5 linked regions of the Nothobranchius furzeri genome follow. The protein of the gene in region 3 interacts with the protein of the main gene of each other region in a pairwise test. Links are inferred from orthologs where the notes say so. Each region holds a gene or a part of one and is shown on either strand. Other genes may lie near its edges.

Evidence for each region.
Region 1: the proteins of meox2a (region 3) and G patch domain-containing protein 2-like interact in binary tests that used the Homo sapiens proteins (3 or more experiments, as listed by UniProt). The two-hybrid records come from large-scale screens. The link is inferred for Nothobranchius furzeri from reciprocal best matches to the Homo sapiens genes MEOX2 and GPATCH2L.
Region 2: the proteins of meox2a (region 3) and unc45a interact in binary tests that used the Homo sapiens proteins (3 or more experiments, as listed by UniProt). The two-hybrid records come from large-scale screens. The link is inferred for Nothobranchius furzeri from reciprocal best matches to the Homo sapiens genes MEOX2 and UNC45A.
Region 4: the proteins of meox2a (region 3) and airim interact in binary tests that used the Homo sapiens proteins (3 or more experiments, as listed by UniProt). The two-hybrid records come from large-scale screens. The link is inferred for Nothobranchius furzeri from reciprocal best matches to the Homo sapiens genes MEOX2 and AIRIM.
Region 5: the proteins of meox2a (region 3) and chic2 interact in binary tests that used the Homo sapiens proteins (3 or more experiments, as listed by UniProt). The two-hybrid records come from large-scale screens. The link is inferred for Nothobranchius furzeri from reciprocal best matches to the Homo sapiens genes MEOX2 and CHIC2.

Annotation. Positions count from the first base shown.
Region 1 is NC_091758.1:32,642,750-32,647,465, reverse strand, and holds the start of G patch domain-containing protein 2-like, read right to left. Parts: upstream 3,363-4,716; 5' UTR 3,227-3,362; exon of another isoform or gene 3,215-3,226; intron 3,191-3,214; exon of another isoform or gene 3,174-3,190; intron 1,496-3,173; 5' UTR 1,492-1,495; coding exon 836-1,491; intron 1-835.
Region 2 is NC_091744.1:74,262,925-74,267,787, reverse strand, and holds the start of unc45a (protein unc-45 homolog A), read left to right. Parts: upstream 1-1,501; 5' UTR 1,502-1,639; coding exon 1,640-1,663; intron 1,664-1,763; coding exon 1,764-1,959; intron 1,960-2,847; coding exon 2,848-3,023; intron 3,024-3,099; coding exon 3,100-3,189; intron 3,190-3,276; coding exon 3,277-3,444; intron 3,445-3,533; coding exon 3,534-3,702; intron 3,703-3,825; coding exon 3,826-3,996; intron 3,997-4,090; coding exon 4,091-4,262; intron 4,263-4,349; coding exon 4,350-4,650; intron 4,651-4,725; coding exon 4,726-4,820; intron 4,821-4,863.
Region 3 is NC_091745.1:64,687,508-64,691,701, forward strand, and holds part of meox2a (homeobox protein MOX-2), read right to left. Parts: intron 2,104-4,194; coding exon 1,931-2,103; intron 1-1,930. UniProt on the Homo sapiens protein: Mesodermal transcription factor that plays a key role in somitogenesis and somitogenesis and limb muscle differentiation. Required during limb development for normal appendicular muscle formation and for the normal regulation of myogenic genes.
Region 4 is NC_091759.1:26,720,624-26,724,363, forward strand, and holds airim (AFG2-interacting ribosome maturation factor), read left to right. Parts: upstream 1-1,331; 5' UTR 1,332-1,440; coding exon 1,441-1,697; intron 1,698-2,001; coding exon 2,002-2,175; intron 2,176-2,245; coding exon 2,246-2,364; intron 2,365-2,448; coding exon 2,449-2,489; 3' UTR 2,490-2,678; downstream 2,679-3,740. Other genes in the region: cdca8 (borealin), read right to left, coding at 1-38; cldn35 (claudin-4), read right to left, coding at 2,889-3,572. UniProt on the Homo sapiens protein: Part of the 55LCC heterohexameric ATPase complex which is chromatin-associated and promotes replisome proteostasis to maintain replication fork progression and genome stability.
Region 5 is NC_091747.1:75,930,538-75,935,480, forward strand, and holds the start of chic2 (cysteine-rich hydrophobic domain-containing protein 2), read left to right. Parts: upstream 1-1,581; 5' UTR 1,582-1,778; coding exon 1,779-1,909; intron 1,910-4,943.

The DNA of each region.
Region 1 (4,716 bases), on a different chromosome or scaffold from region 3:
ACACACGCAGGACAGTATGCCCTGAGAACCCGGGTCGGGAAACACTGATCTAGGCTGATCAGGGAATGCCTTGGGGGTCCCACAAAGGAGCTGGTGGAGGAAGGTGGGGAGAGGGCACTCTGCTGCCCCCTGAGGGCTGTTGCATTAAAGAAAACTTCTCAACCTTACTGGATAAGTGGTTTCTCTTTCAGTGCAGCAAGTAAATCTACACAGATTATCATTTGTAATCTGATGTTAAGGCATCCAAATTCTCATTGCAGCGCTTTACTCTAATGGAGTTTCATGCAGTGACTTACCTTTCTATCAACGTACTGAGTGTGTATTGCATTGATTGCTTCACTGTAATAATATATTGTCCCTCTCTGTAAGTTAAAGCCACATTTAGGTTTGCTAAATGAAATGCACACAGGAGGGTGAAAGCTGGGACTGTGGGACAGTCACAGCTTTAATTACCCAGCCAAAGACGGGCATATATTTCAAAACAAATCAATACCTCACCAAGTCACTAATTTATTTGTGACAATAGTTCTCAAAAGGAAATAATGAGCTCTCAGACGCCCGAGGGCAGAGCTATCAAAGATGCCCTCCCTGATGATCATTTCAGATATAAGAGATTAGAGACCATCATTCATTTTTAATGCCAAATCGGCACTTTAAGATAATAGGGTTGTTGCTTTTTTCTGTCTTGTTAGAAACTTATGCTAAATATCGACAAGTAGCTCAAGGAAAAGCAGTATTGTTTTTTTGGTCACTTTTAAAAAATGTTCCATTTGAAAGTACTTTTAATACATTTCTGTTATTAACTTATAATGCGGTCTAAAAGTGATGACATTACCCATCAGACATGTTTTCGTCCGCAGCATCTCTGTGTTCTTTGCCCATCTTTCTCTTCCAGCACTCGTTTCCCATCAGTCTGCCTCCTTCAGTCTGTTTCTCTGCTCCCATCCATCCACTCGACCTCCTCTTCGATCCTGACAGACGCTGCACCTTAGTTGGCCTTTGCCTCCTCTTCCCATTGTTCCTCACGTGTAATTTCTGCTGAAATCTCACCCTCACATCTGGGGTCATACGCTTGACCTTCCTGCGCCTCCTGAGTGGCTGCCCCGGATTACTCTCAGTGAAGGAATCAGACTCAGGCCAGGAGGGATGCCTCGACCGGACGGGGCTTCTAATGACACAAGGCCAGTGGTCAGTTGTAGTTTCATCGTCTGAGTCGCTGTAGTTGGCCACAGATGCATTTAAAGAGGACAGGTTCTCTCTGTAATCTTTAGCTTCATCCAGGCTGGACTCAGAGGCCTCAATCCAGCATCGTCTACGTGCCGTCGGGTACACGGAGGACTCGTGAAGGCGTTTACGACCCCGTCGGCGGCGGATCTGCCGGCGATGCTGCAGCGGACTTATGACCATCTCCTCCCACAGCTCCCCGAGCTTGCTCTGCTCCGAGGCCTGCTCCAGTGCAGAAACCAGGTCCTGCACCAGCTCATCCATCATGATGCTGGAAACAGAAACACCACAAAAGAAACACTTATACTCCACAAGCAAACTAATATAGGAGTTCATATTAGGTGAGTTCTTGCTGTGTCGTGGTTCTAATTCCATGCTGTCGTTCTTTTTTTAAAACACAGAAACGGTTCCGTTACCTGTTTTGTCGCTACGTTTCGTCTGCGGCTGCAGACTTCCTCAGGCTGACGCTGATGGAGGCGTCACTTCCTTCTCCGTTTATCCGCGGGCAGCAGAGGACGTTGTCGCCCTCTGCTGCCCGCTCTCCCCTCTCCGACGATGCAGTCCCATGTGCGGTCCAACATGTAAACTCCATTGTCCCTGTTCATGGTCCCACATCCACGTCTCCTTATCTCGATTGCTTCTATGTATGTTTTATTGCAGAGTTTGCATGGGATTTCGTAAACATTCGTATACATCGTAGAAATCGGACGACAACCCAACACACGAACAATAAAACATAGAAAGGAGTGTGAGAAAGAGGCAAGTAGAAAACACACGAGAGCAGCAAAAGAAGAAGCAGAAAGCACAATAAAGAAGTCAGCCGTAACAGATCACTGCATAAGAGAAAACCATATAATGGACTGGGACAACACACGGATCATAAACAACAAACAACAAAAATACAAAAGATGGATTAAAGAAGCAATCGAGATAAGGAGACGTGGATGTGGGACCATGAACAGGGACGATGGAGTTTACACGTTGGACCGCGCATGGGACTGCATCGTCAGAGAGGGGAGAGCGAGCAGCAGAGGGCGACAACGTCCTCTGCTGCTCGCGGATAAACAGAGAAGGAAGTGACGCCTCCATCAGCGTCAGCCTGAGGAAGTCTGCAGCCGCAGACGAAACGTAGTGGAAAAACAGGTAACGAAACTGTTTCTGTGTTTAAAAAAAAAAAGAACGACAGCATGGTAATATAGGAGTTTATTTGAAACACAAGTGAAACACATCGTCTATATATGATCACTAGTTATGTTTTATAAATCTGAAAGGATAAACTAAAACATTCCTTCTGTTTGCCTATTTATTGATTCATCTATGTAATTGTCTTTCGTGAAGACTCACATAGCATTTTATTGAGTATTTCTACATTAGAAGACGTTATCCAGATCAGGTACGATTAACCAAAACAAACACTCCTATTTATAAAATTTATTTTAACCCAAGAGAGCCAAACCATCCCGGAAACTGATCAACCTTATAGTATCAAACAAACCCAACAATTTTTTTTAAAAATATCATGAGATTTTCCATCATTTTCATCCTTTTTTTTTTAAATTTATTTCTGTTTCATGTTGCAGGCTGATGTCACCCTACAGTCCAGCAGCAAAATGGCATTGATAAAGCTCACGTAGGAGGAGGTGCGTCTTTGTTGATCGTATTTGTGAAATAAGGCCTTTAAACGCGCGTGCGCATCACCAGCAGCTCGAAAACGTGGAAGCCGTTAGTGCAAAACGCGGTCGAGTCTTTGCAGCGTTACTGCAGCAAAACAATAGCAGAGGCAGGCTGGAGTATCTGCGTGTTGCATAACAGCTCATATCATGTGAGCTCAGCACAAGGAGGAGGAGAAAAAGCACAGCCACACAGCTCCGAACTATCGGCAACAAAGCAGCCGTTTCTGAGCGTTTGACCGCGGCCACACGGATACAGAGACGACGGTGAATATTTACTGTAGTCATTTCATAACAGCGTAGGGCAAAGCCCGCCGTACCCGAGCACTCACCAGTCGCAGCTTGTCTTGTTTTGTTTTCAGCACACAGCTGGGACAACAGACGCACCTTCCGCCCAGTGATCCAGCCAATCCGGTGGCTCCGCTGCGGAATGACGTCATTCCAAAACAGCCCGCAGTAGCAGGGAGCCAAAATTCAGCCTTGGAGGATGCAGATAACAAGCTGACCACCATCATTACGTCATTAGATTAAGATATAGCCACAGTTCTGCTGACATTTACATTAATAATTTACTAGGATTAGATTGTGGATTAAAATGTAGTAAAGGGCTTTATTGTTCCCAAGAGGGAAATGGTTATAGTATTTGTGAGACCCATCAAAGCCTTACATGTTTGCTGTGCAAAATCACGCACACATACAGGACACACATTTTTCTGCTTAAACAAATAATTTTACAAGCTAATTTAAAAAAATCCATGCTTGCAACAGCAGATTACCAAACAATCTGCAGAGACAGTAGGCAAATCCTTCAGGCTTTAAAAGGGACTTATTATAACTTTTTTATCGTGAAGTTCTTTGCACAAAATCTCTCTCACATTAAGCAATTTCAGCAGTTTTATTCTTGACAGTTTCAGTACCTTCTAGCATAAGCAGTTTCAGTGTTCTTTCACTTTATGAAAAGAAGCAGAAGCTGGCCACGCCCACCCATCCCTGATCAGGCTGCTATGAGAAGCTCCTATATCCAGAAGAGCTTGTAGTACCTGTTGCTCTATTCTATTTAATTTCCCTATTTGTGACATCACAAACAGAGACTTTTTGAAACCACTTGTTTTAGGCACATGACTCCTAAAACCAGTTACCAACAGAAAATGGATCGACAAGTTTCTTTCGATTCTTCGGCATGAAATATTGTTGGGGGGGGGGGGGGGGTGAGAGCATGTGAAGAGGGTCAGATGATGTGTGTGTCTTATGCTCAGTGTGTGTTGGCAGTCCTGGTAAAACCGCTTTCAACCAGTAGGAGGAAAAGCAGGAAACTTTTGTTTTGTGTGTGATTGTGGTTATGGTTGTGTTTTTACATTTACATACATAGAAATTGAGCATTTTATTGAATCTGATGTGCAATCGACTGGGGAACTTAAATAACTTCCTTCAGTCCTTCATAATAAGAGTCTAAAACTTACACATTTACCACAAAATATGTAAATTATGCAATCTGTCAGGAATATTTAATTGAAAAATCCCAAAGATTTTTAAATACCCTTGCGTCTGCGAGAGCTAGACAGCTTGTTGTTATTTGTTGCTAAAACTTCCACAGCTTTAGATCGAGTGAACCAAGTTCTTACTGTTCTAGAAACAAAAGTTTAGGGTGAGAATTTTTACATTTACATCAGTTATTTAAAGAGCAAGTCAACCCCTACCAGAGTCTAACTCCACTCCCACTTCATGTTTGAAAAATGCAACACGTGCTGTTGCCTGGCAGACCGTGAGGGCGGAGCCGCTAACAAACACACACTCAGGCTCACAACAGCATTGTGACATCATA
Region 2 (4,863 bases), on a different chromosome or scaffold from region 3:
CAGCAAATGTGATGTGTTTAAAAGTCAAGAAGTCATTAAGCACACACCTGAAATTTGCATCAGCCTTCTGTTAATCAGCTTCATTTGTCAAAAAATAACTCTTTGGGAATCATCTTGTTTTTTTGTTGTTGTTTTTTTACGGAACATGCACTGCTCTGGGTGGCTGCATGTTGGAGTAGCTCTGTTGACTATATGTACGTTTTGCCTTTTCTTGGGCATTTTTTCTTCTAGTTTCTCAAGAAAAACTGTATTTTTTGGACACTTTACTTTTCTGTTTCTGGTGCTGTGAAGCTTGGAGGATTTTTACTGCTATTTTTTAGCTTTTTTCACTTTTTGAGTATTTGTTATGATGTGTAACCATGGCAACAGTCTGGTTTAAAATCAGGAGCAGCTGATTAACATTGGAAAGGCTGAAATAATACCCAAACTGAAGCCACAAATCCCAAATGAGCTAAAACGCAAGAAGCGTGGGTGCAGAGCGGAAGCAAAACGGAGACAGAGGAAAAGGAAATTCAAACCACCTCTTCCATCGATCATAATGGGCAGTGTGAGATCACTGGCCAACAAGATGGAGGAACTCCAAGCCCTTTCAAGGACTCAGCCAGAGTTTTGGCAGTTTCGGAACCACTGGAGGAGATAATGCAAAGAAGGATTCTCCATAGAATCAAGAAAATTATGGACAACCCTGAGCATTCTCTTCACAAGACTGTCCGACAACGGAAGAGTGTCTTCAGTCAGAGGCTTCTTCAGTTTCGCTGCAACACTGACGGCTACTGGAGATCCTTCCTGCCAACAGCCATTGTACAACTCTTTGACGACTTGATCATTATTATTATTCTGAGCTACTACAGCAATCAGTTTCCCTCTGGGATTATTAAAGTATTTTTAATTGAATTGAATTGAATGCTAAAATAATATTTTGTGTGTCAAACTTTGTTATAATTGGCATTTCTACTGAATCAATTAAAGAAATTTGAATATAGTTGTCGTGCCTACGATTAAACGTTAAAAAGACTCAGAAAAATGTTTATATATGTATGTATATATATATATATATATATATATATATATATATATATATATATATATATATAGATAGATAGATAGATAGATAGATAGATAGATAGATAGATAGATAGATAGATAGATAGATAGATAGAATTTTATTGGACAGAAATGTGTTGCAAACAGTAAAAGTCTGTAAAGAAAATCATAAAGTCTGAAAACAACAAGATTACAAAGTGGCTTTAAGATCACCTGGCTGGGACATTTAAACATTTTCCTACATTTAAATTTGAATTTCTGTTTCTTTTGTTACCTGAGAAGTACAACATGTCCCTGTGCAGACTGGGAAAAGCCCCAGGATGTAAATATAACCACAGACATAGACAATATATATGTCTGTGAATATAACCATATAAAGTAAAAGCAGTCGGTGTTTTCCTTTTTTTTCTTTTGTTCAAGCTGCGACAAATAAGAGGGGAGGGGCTTGTGTGAAACGTCATCAATGTGCTACGAACACCTGGAAGCGCAGCAAGATGTTTTACTGAAGTTCACATTGTTAATCACAATTTAGAGAAATAAAAACAACTGTTCCGTCACATTACGACGCGCCGAATTGTGTTGAACGGATCTGAAGATGAGTGGGAGCGAAAAACAAATGGTAAGGAAGCTGAAACGAGCCGTTCGGTTTGTTTATTTCCGATTTTTCTAGAAGTTTCCCGTCCGGGTAACCGTTACTCACCTTTTTTCCCTGAACTCAGGAGGACCCAGCAGCCCTGAAGGAGGAGGGGAACGCTCTCTTTAAGGCAGGAGACATGCAGGGCGCTGTCTGCTGTTACACCAAGGCGTTAAAGCTGACTGACAGCCGGGCTGACGGTGCTGTCCTCTACCGTAACCGCTCCGCCTGCTACCTGAAGCTGGAGGATTTCAGCAAAGCGGAGGCTGATGCCTCCAAAGGTCGGACACTTCTCTTTAATTTGCATAAATAAGAGCGCACAAGTTTCTATGGGGCCATGAAATCGCAGGGACATTTATGAAAGAGACTGTAGATCACCACACATAATAAATATAAAAAGTTACCACGCTAGGTATGTAAACAGTAGGTTATTTAGCAAAATACTCACAAGATTATATCTACTCAAGTAAAATTACTTATGTAAAAAATAAACAGTATAAGTACTGGCTTATTTTCGGTGTTTTTAGTGTTCTTTTTGTCTCATCTTGTATGCAGATCAGAAGTCTGCAGACTTTTCAGATCATCAAATAAAACACATTAACCAATCAGATTAAATAATGCATCAATACAACAGTTTTACTTGATTTTTAAAATAATTAAATTGACCAGTAAATTAAAGCTGTTTACCATTGCCATGGAAACAAATTAATTACTACATTTCCATTTATTTAGTCACACAGAACTCTGCTTATACAAACTGTCCTTTCGGCCTTTAAATTTGATAGTATTAATTTGCATTTAGCTGTTGCTACATCTTTGTGGGCATCACTATGTAACTGGACATCTCACAGTCTGGAAAGCAGATCATTTTGTGGCATGCCTGCCTTTTTCTGAACATGTAGCAGACTCGGTTTGAATCAAAACAATGTGAGATATATTAAATAAAGCCTTGCAAAATACATAAAAGTGAATTCATGGAGATTCCATTTTTCATATTAACAATACCCGGTACAGAGCCTCTACTACCTTCCCAAAACACTTGACAATTAGGAGATTATTGTTTGCTAAGGCTCATTATTCTGGGTATTGTACAAATCGTTCTTTGGTTGAAGCTTTTATTAGATGCACCACTTTAGTAAATGTTTCCAGGTGTTTTCCTTTGTTTGCAGCACTTGATTCTGACCCAGGCGATGTGAAAGCCAGGTTTCGGAGGGCTCAGGCTTTTCAGAAACTCGGTCGGCTCGACCAGGCTTTCCTGGATGCTCAGACGTGTGCGCAGCTCGAGCCTAAAAACAAAGCTTTTCAAGATCTGCTTAGACAACTGGGAACACAGATGCAGCAAAAGGTGATATGAAACTGATTAGGAGTTTTGTCTTGGAAGAAGCAGATGCTAATTTTAGCCCATGTTTGCAACCCTTTAGTCAGCTCAACTAAACTCCACAGATGCACGCGTGCAGCAGATGTTCTCCCTCCTCTTAGATGCTTCTGCTAAAGATTCAGATCGACAGAAGGTGCTAATTGCTCACTTCTCTGTAACTCTTGGTGTGTGTTTTATTGTCAACACTTACTAAATCAGTACAATACGTGCAACTTTTTAGGCAGCTCAGAATCTGGTGGTGTTGTCTCGGGAGGAAGCGGGAGCTGAGCAGATCTTCCGCAACGACGGGATGAAGCTAACTCAGAATCTTCTTCAGTCGAAGCAGGAGGACATTGTGCTTTCTGCTCTCAGGACATTAGTTGGTTTGTGCACGGGACATCAGTCGAGAGTAAGTGTCACCATCAGTGCGGCGTCTTTAAAGTTGTTTATTTGCAGCAGAGTGTTTGCTGATTTTCTTCTGTTGCCTTTTATTTCCAGACGATGGCGATAGTGAATGAACTGGGAATGGACCAGCTGTGTGCGGTAATGGGGTCAGGAGCTTCCACTGTGTCTTTGGCCGCCTGCCACCTCCTGCAGGTGATGTTTGAGGCTTTGACAGAGGGCATGAAAAGAGAGATCAGGGGAAAGGACGAAGCGATCCTTCCTGGTGAGTTTGACTATTTGCTTTTATAATAGGAGCTGGATCCGCTCAAAGCAGATCTACTGTATCATGTTTATAATCATATATTTGATTGTATCCATGTTTAATCTCCATCTGAATTCTACACAGAACCATCTAAGGAGCTGCGTTCAATGTTGCGCCACCTTCTAGAGATGATGCCTGCGCCCGATGTGTCAGGACCGGGCAGGGACAGTGCCATCAACCTCCTTGTTAAACAAGTTCCCCGCAAGTCTTTGAAGCATCCTGACAACTCTCTTGCCTTATGGGTTATAGACCAAGGTAGGAAACTCACCTGCATGCGGTCGTGTGTTCGTCTCATCCTCGTGCATTTACGGTCACAAAAATGTGGAATGTGGTGCCTAATCTCATGCAGGGCTGAAGAAAATCCTGCAGGTGGCTGGGACTGTTCCTGAGCTCTCAGAGGGACCCCCTCTTACGGACAACACTCACATGAGCTGCTCCGTGCTGCTAAGCAAACTCTACGATGACCTGAAGAGTGACAAAGAGAGGGAGAACTTCAGCAAACTGTGTGAAGAGTATATTCAGTAAGTTATTTACAAAAAATATTTCTAGGAGCCTTAATCCACCCCAAATTAAACTCTTAAAATTAATTGTTTTCTTTTTCTGAACAGGCAGCACTTTAGCCAGCATGGGCTGGAAGGAAAGCTGCGTGCCATCCAGACCGTGTCGGTGCTCCTCCAAGGTCCGAGTGACGTGGGGAACAGGACTCTGGAAATGTCAGGAATGATGGATGCTGTGATCTCTCTCTGCGCTTCCAAACATGTAATTCACCAGCAGATAGCGGTGGAGGCTCTTATCCACGCGGCGGGCAAAGCCAAGCGAGCGTCTTTCATCACAGCCAATGGCGTGGCCCTTTTGAAGGACCTCTACAAGAAGAGTGAGAATGATCGTATCCGTGTGAGAGCCCTTGTGGTAAGTGTTGTCGACAGGTGCAGAACATATTTCTAATTAAAGATGGAACCCACAGTTTTGTGTGGGTTGTTACAGGGTTTGTGCAAGCTCGGATCAGCAGGAGGTACAGATTTCAGCATGAAGCAGTTTGCAGAGGGATCCACACTCAAGCTCGCCAAGCAGTGCAGGAAGTATGTTTTCTTGTGCTAAAAGACTAACCCCTTCTTTCCACCA
Region 3 (4,194 bases):
TGTTTAAAGGGATATTTTGTAACTTTTTCATATTTTTAAATTATTTTCTTGAGCCAGTATGTGCTAAAATGACCCTTTACAGGGTTAATGAAAAGTCACTCAGAACCCACTGCTCTCTGTAGCTAGGGATGTGTAATGGTGACATTCTGGTGATGCAATACGTATCACGATACAGGGGAGATGATACGATACGATATATATTGCGATGCATTCAGCCAGACGATATTAGCGAATTTTTAAAACTGAATTTATGGTAGGAAAAATCAATAAACAGTCCGAACTGATACTTAACATGTTTAACATGAGGTATCGGAACCATAATAGAGGGAATTACATTTCAATGGGGAAAACAAAACCCATTGCACACTGATGCCAACTAGCAGTCGGTGTTTGAATTGCACCAAAAGAAAAGAAAATACACAAATGTTTGCATGTTAATTCTTCCTAAATTTTGATACAAGGCTTTTAAATATCACAGGATGAAATATCACAATGTATTGCCATTTTGATATTTTCTTACATCCCTAGTGGCCAGGATACCACTCTTTCAACTTCAGAGTGGCAGGCCGCTCTCTTTTGGACTTAGTAAAGTGGAGCTGGCGCGCCTGGCACTGCAGTCTGCTTCCAGCATGTTTCCTGTATGTTTTAGATCATGAACACAGCTGATTTGTTTAATTTAGTGATGAACTGTTCTTGTAAGGCTGGTGAGACATTTCAGCTGTTAAATGAAGAGTTAAAAAGACAAACGCACAGCGAGGAGATAAGTTTTACTTTCGGTTTTTACTAACAAGCACTAGGGGGTGCTAAAAGCAAGCCAAAACTGTTTAGTTTCTCTTTAAACGCCTTCTTTGGAAATTGAAATAAGCTTCAGATTATTCAACAGTATACTGGATCATGTTTTAACTGCTTCAATCCCTGTGTGTCTTTATTTTTGTGATTGGGTGAATCAAAATGTTATAGCATTAGTAGATTTAGCGTTGTAAAAGCTGGCAGATTGTGGGAATCCTATAGGAAACATGTTTACAATCCAAGAAAAGTGAGGTTTTTGGTTTTCATCTATCCTAACTGTCACTGATCTTCCCTACAGGTTTTGTTTTGTTGGCTTCTTGGAAGACCGCACCATTCACAGACCCACTGTGCTGTGGGAGTTTATGTGATTCTGCTGCAATAAAGACTTTCTGTCTGTTCTTTTGTATATTGGTGCAGCTGTTGCAAACATTTCTGCTGCAGAACAATAGCTGGCAGTGGCATCTGTAAACCTAATCTTCAAAAAACAACCATAAAAAGTATTTCTGACTCAAAAGGCTTTTGAGCAAGCGTCTTGGCCTGTCTTTTTATATTGTTTTGCCTGAATGTGTGCGAGGTATCAAACTCTCAGGCAGCACCTGAAACTCCAGAAGCATTTCCAAACTCTTTGTCAATTCTCTATGGTACAAAAATCACTGGCGTGGTGTCAATTACTTTTGAGGTACGGCTTCCAAAGAGGTGTCATAGATCAACCAGCATTACGCCCCCCCCCCCCCCCCCCCCCACCTCCGTCCATTTGTCTCCTGTTATTTATTTCGTCTGCCTGCGTTTGAAAGCGAGCGTCCCACGCTTGGAGACCAATTTGTAGCTGCACAGGTCGCGTGAGAGAGGAAGTGGCCTGCTAGACAGCGCTTCCTCCGGCCCGTCTCCCTGTCGTGACTGCAGGCTGGCCCTGAAAGAATAGACAGGAACATCTGGAATATGATAGTCCTCTGACACCGCCACATCTGGAGCACAATAACCCCTCATAGCAAAGTTGCCAAAACACGGTAGCGAGTGAAAAGTCTCCTCAAAGTTCCGAGGGTGCTTCTGTTTTCCCAACATGGCCTTAATGTGGTAATGGAGGGTTCAGCTACGCCTAAACCCTGGGGGCGGGGGCAACCTGCAGCTCACGGGAACATACTTGTCTTTCAGTGAGGTCGAGGTTGACGGCGATCTCGTAGCGCCGTAGCCGGGTCAGGTAGTTGTGGTGGGCGAACTCAGCCTCCAGCTCTCGGATTTGCTCCTTGGTGAATGCTGTCCGCTCCTTCCTGGGCTTGCTGCTCACGTCTGGCTTGTAATTCCCGTCCTGGGACTCTGAAACCAAACACCACACAGGTTTCTGCTGTGCTCAGGGGCAGATTTATATGCAGCAAAAATAGAAGAATCAAATAAAAAACAAATGAAAAACACCAAGGCAAAGGCTTTGCGGCAGGTGCGGCTGCAAGGGTGAGAAAGAAACGGCAAAGTTAAGAGAAACAATCAGAGCTGTCAGTCACGTTTTATTGTTCAGTCGTTGTTTATGAATACTTTAAGTGGGTGGAAGGACTCATGGGCGGCAGCACATGTGTGTCTGACTGCAGCAGCTGTGTCGGGACAATACGCCGGCTTTTACACGACCAGCATGGATTTAATTTGTCTGAGTTTGAAAAGATATTTGCTGCTTTGACTTCACCAGACGGGGAGCAAAAGTCTCAGAAAAGCTGAAAAATCATCATTTTCTGTCCCTTCCAGCTATTTATCACTGAGTTCCCAAAGTCAGTAAATATATTGGCATCATAAAAGTTATATTTAGATGTGTGTGGAAAGGAAAACAATCCCAGACTAGAGAAAAAGGACTAAAGTCAAGACAAAAACAGATTGTACACTTGCAGGAGAGAAATAACAAATTCCTGCTTCATCACCATCAATCTACAACAATCCAGTTTTCCTCGTGTTTCCAGAACCCCTCCAAAGAAAACACATATGGTTAATTTGCCTTTCAAATGATTCCTGTTAAAAGCAGCTCTTGTGGGCTCTGCTGGACACAATTCAGATGCTCGTGGGACTTAAAGCAGCAGCAATTGTACGGAAACTCATCTGTGGTCCCGTGAATTTTAACTCTGCCAGTCTGCGTCGAACAAAACTGTAAATAGTCCTGCAGCTCTGAGCCAGACACACGTAATGGAGGCCTGCTGGTTCTGTCTTATTGGGCCTGACTTTTCCAGAGCAGCAAAACAACGAGAAGAAGAGACCGAGCTGCTCTACAAAAGTTAGATTTAGAGCAGAAGGCAAGCAAACAGAAGCAGAAACTGCAGGAATTCACATATAAGGGGTAAGAAATGGAAAACGGCCTTTGTTGACCTGCAGCTTGTGTCTGGCTCACCTTTGACCTTGCCCCCCCCTGTATTTTTAAACCAAGTGGCTGACTGAATCACGTCCTCAGACCCACTCCCTCTGGTTCACGCAGACGTGTAAAAAAGAAATAAAAGTATAATGCAGCCAGTCGCTTCAGACCAGGCCTGGAGTTAAAAGGAGCGGCGAGCTTTTATGGCACCGCCGCTCCACCACAGCAATTAGGTCCTCGCCGAAACTTTCATCTCTCCACAAAAAAGGAGGAATAATTTAGGGAGAATACACCCAGACAGGGAGCGCCGCTCAGGGTTCTCTAATGAACTCAAGTTCAACAGGGACCCTCTTGAAAAAAATAAGAGCAAGTGAAAAGAAATATTTGCTTTTTTCAAGAGGTCCTTCACTCATATTTCTTAGTAGAAATGAACGCTTCGTAAGTCATACTCTGGGGGAAAAAAAGCTCCGGTGCGCCTGTTTCAGCATGGATAATTTAGCCAGAGGAGAAAGTAGCTTCAGACGTCAGGAATGACTCCATTCGCTCTGCGACATGGACGTTTTATCGCCACTAATAACACAAGCTGTTTGGAGTTCTGCCATGTGGTGGAGTTGCTAATGCTAACAGTTAGCTTCTACTAGCTGAGACGTTCTCTGCTGTTTCCTGGATGCTAAACCTACAACAGCCGTCCCCGTGGCGATTCAAGATGGGTGAGTCTATGAACGTTAAATGACAGTGTGACGTCTTCTTCTTCAGAGCGACTCTTAGTGCCAGCGAGAAGACTCTGGCACCTCACGCTTGCACTTTTTATAACAACACCTCATCCAAAAAAGCATCTTTTATTGTTTCTGTCAGAAAACTCTGAACTTTTTAAAGGACGACCACTCCCTCCGCAGCACTATCAACTCAGCAAAGACACCCTTTCCTCACAAGACCCACAAAAAACCCCAAACCCAAGCAGAAACCAGACTCCCTGACTCAGCTCATTAACTGAGCCTGCAGCCTGGCATCAGGAAACAGTCACAACCTGGTAGCAAAAGCAGAAAACTGATCCATATTGGAGGAGAAAGGAGGTAAAAACT
Region 4 (3,740 bases), on a different chromosome or scaffold from region 3:
TTCTTCTGCTGCCTGGTGGTTCTCTTCCGTGGAGCCATGTCAGCGCGGAGTGGAAGGATTTAGTCCAGAGAGTCTGAAACCGTTTCACAGAAGATAAGCTTTAGCTAAAAGAGCAGGCACGAGGACGTTATCCGCTGACTGCGCTAGCTAGTTATTTAGCATCAGGGCTTCGCGCGGATTTTTCTACCGACCATTTATTCACACATCTTATAAAATTGATAAAACATCACTTTAATCCGATTTATCAGCCTTAAATTAGAGAAAAGTCACCTGCGTTTCTTTTGCCGCTTACTTCTTCCTACTAGACGTTTTAAAATTCTGCGCTGGGACACGTCAGCCAATGAGGACGTACGTTTTTACTGCGTCACAACACTGAGGCGTTTACCAGCGCTTGGCAAACGTGCATTACTGCCATCACGTGGCTTGGGGTGTAGTAACAGTCACGTTATTAGGGTACTCGGTGACAACAGCCATATGTACATAAATGTTTATGTGTTGTATTTATGTTTATTATATAAACATAAATGTTTATATATACATATCTATGGCAACAGCTGTCTCTGTGGCTCGCGCTGCACGCAGAGCTCTGACGGAAACTTTGTTTCACCAACAAACGTTCCGTTCTTCCTCGTTGTGAGTTTCTATTGGATCAATATCTTTATGAATTGGTCCTTGATCGGGACTTAAAGAACAGCTAAATATGAATAGGTGTGTGTAGGTTTTGACTTACGTGTTATAAACAGGAAGATTGTTACTGAATGATTAATGTGTTCATTCTATCATTTTCTTTTACAAGAACAAAGTTTACTGAAGCTCATTCTTTCATTTCAGTAGTTTTATTCCGTTTGTAAAACTGAACATTGTTAAATGTAAAGGGTGGAAAATAAACGCTGTGGTCTTTAACGTGTTTAAGCGCCATTAAAACTGTGTTTATTATTTATTAACAGGGTGTACGTTATGTTCCGACACGCACTGCTGTCTTCATGGATAAATAAAAACATTCCTAACTACTGGATCTTTTCCATGCTACGTTCACTGACAACGTATAAAGTAGGAATTTCCTACACTTGTTACATAAAACATACTTTTGAACTGTAGCCGTAACTTTGCTGAATTCCGTGTTTGTCAAATGACGTAATCCTGTCTTTAGACTATATAAAACATTAAAATTGCATCATTTAGAATTACTGCCGACTACAAATGAATCACAGGACTAGAGTTTAGATCACCCTAACGACTGCACCCCCCACACGTGTTGTTTATATGGTCAACGGTGATGGAGTTGAAATGGAGCTCGAGTGAGAGCTCGGACTTCTGAGGTGCCCTGAACGCATCATAAGTCATTGTTTACATCCGGAGACCGGAAGCGGGCTCTAGACGTGAGCTGCCGCGTGGAGACGTGCGTGAAGTAGGAACGGGTTCGAGCAGGAGAACCGGAGCATGTCCGAGCCGCTGCAGGAGGCGCTGAGGAGGAGCTTCGTGAGTCTGGAGAAGCAGCGGGAGGTCTGGAGGAGCGTGTTGGAGGAGTGCAGCCCGCTCATGGAGGCTCTGGGGAACCTGGCGGAGCAGATGAGCGCGCTGACCCGCGTCCAGCTGCTCGACACGCCGCTCCGAGTCTTCCCGCAGCTGGAGGAGCTGCTGCGGGTCAAGCTGCTGCAGGCTGCGGACACGGTGCTCCAGAGGCTCGGTGAGAACATGTGAGTCAGAGCCCTCAGAACCACGCTGGCGGGAAATAAACGTACGTCAGCGTTAGTTATTGTCATCAATAATCGGAGCTTCGGGGTGATACTGACATCTAGTGGTCAGAAGTAGAACAACACCCGTTCCAGGGTTATGATGGAGCGCATGCGCGTTGGCTATCCATCTTAGCTGGACGTTATAACTATGATCCACTTACTTTTTAATTGTTTCTCCCATTTTATTCTCATCTTTTTAGTTATTTATTGTGAAGCAGCTCGTGACCCATCTTCTGACGGTCCATGTGTTGTGTTCCTCCTCCAGGTGCCGTCTGCAGTCCATCAGAGATTCCATCAGTAGCCAGGCCTCTGCTCTCCTGCAGCAGTACCAGCAGAGTTCTGTGGACCTGACGATGCTGACGGAGCGCTCGGCCACCGTCCCGTCTCTGGCCGACATGCTGCAGTGGATCCAGGACGCTGAGCGCTTCTACAGGCAGCAGTATCCTTCCTGTGGGCCTCCTGGCATTCCCGTTATCCTGCTGTTGTCGTTTCCCTGAACTCATCTTCAGATTCCTACAGAGGAAAGCTCTGCTGCAGACGCTGAGGCCGGACCAACTCCTTCTGCTGGAATCTGCTCCCAAAAGGTGGAAATCTCTGGAGTCTCCGAGTGCCGATCAACAGATCACAGGTGAGTCGTGACACGTGGACCAGAGCCCACCCCCATGTTCAGGTCTCCCAACGGTCCGATTTGCTGGATTTTGTCTCTTTTCAGATTCACTCTGCAGACTCTCTCTCTTCATCCAGCCTCAGTGAGCTAGCGAGGGTTCGCTGACCCGACCCGACCCGACCCGAGGACACAAGACGCTTCCAGCTCTTAATGTCAAACGCTTTTATTTGAAAACCAGAAGTTTGTGTGAAGATCTGGAGAGATTACAGCCTGCACCGCACACGCTAACAAGCTAGCACGCCAAATAGTTCAGTCTCTGTCACACACACACACACTCACACACACACACACACACACTCACACACACACACACACACACACACACACACACTCTCACACACACTCTCACACACACTCTCACACACACACACACACACACACACTCTCACACACACACACACACACACTCACACACTCACACACACAGTCCTGTGTGTAAATAAATAAATAAATAAAGGGTCACTCTGTTAGTGGTACCCCCCCCCCTAGACGTACTCCTTCAGAGGGACGTTGTTGGAGATGATGGGTTTCGGTGGTTCCGGTGCGGGCGAGTTGGCGAAACTCCGGCCGACGTAGCCGCGACGGTACCGGCCGCCCCGCTCCATCAGCGGACAGGTGCTGCTCAGCACGGCGCCGCTGATCATCAGGATGACGGCGGCGGCCCAGCCCAGGTAGATGGCCTGACCCAGCTCCCGCTTGTGCATGACGGGAACGTTGGGGTTGTAGAAGTCCTGGACCACCGTGTTGGCGGTCCAGGAGACCGGGATCAGAACACACAGGCCGGTGACGATGAAGAGAATTCCTCCTGCCAGCGCGATTCCCGCTTTGGCCCGGCGGTCGTCTCCGGCGCAGGTGGTGCACTTCATTCCGCAGCAGGACACGGTGCAGGACAGCCAGCCCATGAAGATGGCGAGGCACATGAGGGCGCGAGCGGCCTGGATGTCCGGCGGCAGCGCCAACATGGAGTCGTAGGTCTTACACTGCATGTGACCCGTGGTCTGGTAGATGCAGTTCATCCAGATGCCCTCCCACTTCATCTCCGACGTCAGGATGTTGCTGCCGATGAAAGCCGACACCTTCCACTGAGGCAGCGCCGTGACGGCGATCGCCATGATCCAGCCCGTCACCGCGCACGTGAAGCTGATCAGCTGCATCCCCGTGTTCACCATGGCGACGGCTGCTGGCGGGAGGCTCTGTGCGTCGGCTCGGGTTCTCTGATCCCCCTTCTCTTTCCTTTGATCGGAATGTCAGAAAGCCTTCAGCCTCGTCCTCCTCCTCATCAGCATCTGCTCCGAGTTCCTCCGGTCCCCAGGTCCCTTTGGGCCCTTGGACTTGGT
Region 5 (4,943 bases), on a different chromosome or scaffold from region 3:
CCGCAGGTCAGATGATATGACTACAAAGTCTATCATTGACCTGCGACCTTGGCTGCCCTGGTACCAAGTGTACCGGTGGGCATCCTTATGTTCGAACATGGTGTTCGTTATGGCCAAACTGCGGCTTGCACAGAAGTCCAATAACAAAACACCGCTCGAGTTCAGATTAGGTGGGCCGTTCCTCCCAATCACACCCCTCCAGGTCAAGATGTCATTGCCCACGTGAGCATTGAAGTCCCCCAGCAGGACAATGGAGTCCCCTGATGGAGCACTATCTAGCACTCGTCCCAGGGACTCCAAAAAGGGTGGGTACTCTGAACTGATATTTGGCCCATAAGCACAAACAACAGTCAGGACCCGTTCCCCGACCCGAAGGCACAGGGAAGCTACCTTCTCATCCCCCAGGGTAAACCCCAACACACAGGCAGAGAGACTTGGGGTTAACAAAAAGCCAACCCCAGCCCTCCGCCTCTCACCCGGGTGCAACTCCAGCAAAGGAGAGTGTCCCACCCCTCTCAAGGACTTGGGTTCCAGAGCCAATGCTATGTGTCGAGGTGAGTCCGACTATATCTAGCCGGTACCGCTCAACCTCTGCCACAAGCTCCTGCTCCTTCCCCGCCAGTGAGGTGACGTTCCATGTCCCAAAGTCCAGTTTCCTTGTCCGGGGATCGGACCACCAAGGCTCCCACCTTGGTCTGTCACCCGATCCACACTGCACCGGACCCTTCATGCTCCTCCTGCAGGTGGTGGGTCCACAGTTGGATGAGCCCATGTATCCGGTTCGGGCTGGGCCCGGTCAGGCCCCATGGGCGAAAGCCCGGCCACCAAGCGTTCGCTCACGGGCCTCAACCCCAGGCCTGGCTCCAGGGTGGGACCCCGGTAAGTTAACCCTCCGGGCCGGGTACTCCGACTCTTTGAATTTACATCCATGAAAGATCCTTTGAACCTTTCTTTGTCTCACCCTTCACCTAAGACCAATTTGTCATGGGAGACCCTACCAGGGGCACAAAGTGCCACAGACAACATAGCTCCTAGGATCATTAGGGCACTGAAACTCCTCCACCACGATAAGGTGACGGTTCAAGGAGTAGTAGGTAATATTGAATAAACTAATTTAGTTATAACGTTTTATCAGCAGGCGTGTGTAATTTCTAATCAAATATATTATATCTATAAAAAAACATCCGAAAGTGAATTTCCAAAAAACAAGTACAACTATCACCAAGAAAGAAATGAGAATGAGGTAAACATGTTTTTAACAAATGAAATAAAAAAGGAACAAAAGACGAATAGAATTTTTAAGAGTAGAAAACCAAAATGAAAATGTGATTTTATTCTATTTTTACCATTTTTTCCCCTTGCCTTATTTATTATGATATATTTTTTGCCATGTTTATTTATTTTTAAGCTCTTTATTTCTGTTAGTCTGGATTCAGGCGAATATGGTTATATTCATTAATAATTTTTTTTTCTTTATGTGTGTGTGTGTGTCAAATTCAGAAAAAGGAAACAAAAACTAAGTAACAATTTATTTGAGTGACTATGATAGAAACTACAAACAAAAAGACGTAAGGACGTCGGTCCCACTTCCGGTGTCGTACAGCTACTGCGGCGGATGTTGATGTTTTGTTAGTAGCTCGCCTCGGACAGCGATGGGAGCTACTTGATATTTTTGTGGTCATCCTCTCTGTTCAGTGCGCGTTTCTCTGAGAGGTTTCCGTGGTTCTCGGTGTCGTTTCTCTCCCGGTGTCTTTACCGGGGTGAGATCGAGTCGGGAGATGATGGAGGACTTTGATGAGATCTACGAAGAGGAGGAAGAAGAAGAGGACGAGGACAGGGCCGCGGAAGAGCAGCTCCTCAAGTATGCTCCGGACCCGGTGGTGGTGCGAGGCTCCGGCCACGCTACTGTGTAAGCTACCGGCGGGACTGGCGGGGATCGTTCCCGGTAAAAGACAACTTGTCGGGGTGTGAGGGGAAACTTGCGGACTAGCTGGTGACTTAGCCGAGTTAGCTAGCTGCTAACAACTGGCTACAGTGAGCAGTTAGAGGACGGCGGTGAAGAGTTTGTTTTGTTTTCTCATCGTGAATTCACCATAATAATTGTGTTATTTTAGCCACTGACAAGTCAGCCCGCTGTTGATACCAACGGCACTCTTTGTCGAGCATTCAGCATTGTTTTTTAATTATAAAAACAAAGTTACTGTGGTTAACTATATTTACTAACGTCCGTTTCATTCCTCATATGTAACAGCTGGACTCAGTTTCCCGAATCTTGTCTCTTCCGGTCAGACTTTTTCGAGTTTAGACGGTTTACACATAAAAAATACTAGATGATACTGTTCACCCAAGCTGCTCCATCTTCTTGGTGTAGATATTCTGAAGCATCTAAAATGTACCTTTTTATGCTGCAAGAGTTTAAAACCTGGCCTAAATTATTTATTTTCTTTCAAATATCTTAAACATTCTGCCAACCCTTTCTAGATGTATAGTCAGTATCTCCAGGCTTTTTGAAGTGGTCTCAAGGTTACTTTAAGGTGCCTTTTCACCAATTTGCTGCCAACTTTTTTGTCCAAAAATAAGCCGCCCTCTGGATTTCAGATCTAGAATCAGTGCAGTTGGTCAGGCCTAGGTTCAGCAACATCATGTGCCCCAAGAATGAGGTCTGCTGAACTTACTGAATAATCAGATTAATCCATCAGTGGGGTTTTTCTTCCCTGATGGCATGTTCCCAGATAACAGTGCCAGGAGCCATCAGTCTCAAACTGTGGAAGAGTGGTTCAGGGAGCACGAGACACATGGATCGTCCACCGCAGAGCCCAGACTATAACATCACTGAGTCTCTGGGGTATGCCAGAAAAGGCTTTGTGCAGCGGTTGGACTCTCAAGGTCTTGGTGGAAAAATAATGCAACACTGTATGAAAAGAAAAACTTGTAAATAAGTGAAGTTAAACATCTGAACAAAGATTGCAATAACCCGAGATGGAGAAAAGATAACTTGTCTGCTTGTTTTGTTCCTGTTTAAATGAAGAGATCAGCTGTGTATCGAATGTGGCAAAAGAATATACTTCACACCACCAGAAACAACATAATGCGGTACTAAAAGCCAGATCAAGACTGAATTTAAGTAGAAAACTCACCCAAGACACATCCAGTGTTATCGCAACATCTTGTTCCATCAGAATGTAGGCGGTTAAAAACTGCTGCCACCTAGCAGACGGAGTGAACTACGCCACACAAACAAATTACAGTAAATGTTTGCATGTAAATTCTCAGTAGAAATCGATACACAGCATTTAATTATTGATTCAGTATCATAAAACAGAATATCACAATATTTCAGTTATATAATCCCTAACATAATCTCTGTTATGTTTACATATTGTATAAAAGCAGAGGCTATGCTGTGAACTGGTTTGTGAATCAGCTGATCTTGTTCTTGTCATTTTCTCTTTTAGTTACAAATTTAGAATCACATGAACCTTCATCCTGCTGTTTAAAGCAAACTAAACCGTAATCGTATGATCAGCTATGCCGTGTTGAGCTTATTTCACTTTATCTGTAGGTTTTCAGTTTAACTCGTAAAACTTCTTTCCGGAGTATTTCTCTTATCCGATGGCTCCATCTAGTGGCTCACAAGCATATCACACAAAAAAATCTGTTGCTCTGTTTAAGATCGCAACTTCACGTATAAATGTGCATCTGTAGCCGACAAACAGATCTAAAACACGTTGTTTTACGAGTATTATTCTCATGTCATGTTGTGTTCTCATATATTTATATTTTAGAGACTTACTTGTCCATGGAAAGTTCATCATCTCTGCATCAGCCGAGGTATTCCTTAAATTTGATGCAAGTAAGAGGTAGTCTAACGCTGTTGGTTAGTTCTGATCGGCACTCAGTTTCCTATTGCACGGAGCTCTGCGGGGCAGGGGGCGTGCTTGGCAAAGATAAATAAATAAATAAAAGACACATTGCTTACATTTTATCACAGTACATGATGAGACAACCGCTTTTATGGATTTCTGAAAAATCATACATCATTTCTGAAAGCGGAAAACTCCAGAAAGCAGCTTTAAAAGGGATGTAAGAAAATATCGATATAACAATGCCATACCATACCAATTTATTTATAAAGCACCATTTCAAAATAGCATGGCAGCTAACCAACCTGCTGTACAGAAAAGAGCCAAATGCTTGAACAAATCAACAAAGCACAATGAAAGCATGAAAATCAGGTAAAATACATAAAAACATAGCATAAATAATCAGGGATAAATATTCCTACTAAAAACAATAGAATAAGAGAGCAGTTAACTGCACTATCAAAAATAAAAATTAATGCGATGAATGATAAAAAACATTTGAAATGGCACAAATAAAACCAAAGACGCTACAAGATTGTGAAAGGTGTTAAAAGTAAGCTACTGAATCATAAAACCTAAATTGAGAAAAATAAACTCGGTGCTGGATTTTCACGTATATCGTGATATTTTTTCTTTTGACATTACAGTGATATTCAAAAGCCATGTATCTAACTTTTGGAAGAATTTACTTGCAAACATTTGTGTATTTTCTTTTCTTTTGGTGCAGTTCAAACGCCAACCACTAGTTGGCAGCAATGTGCAATGGGTTTTGTTTCCACCATGGAAATGGAAATCTCTCTATTGTGGTTCATATACCTCATGTTTATGTGTTTAGCAGACACTTTTTTCCTAAGCGACTGACGCCGGGGACACACCGGCTGCCGAAGAGCCGCGAAAAGGGGACCGCCTTCATTCGGCGCCCTTGTTATCCTATTCTATAGACCACATGGGCCGCTGAAGCGCCCCGGCACGTTCCCGCGCACGTCTGCGCTCCAGCCTGCGCCGTGCAGCGATCGTTTCGGCGTCTGCTCTATTTTTTTCGCAAGCCGCGGGTGAACCGCGTCAATTCTGGCAGGAAGT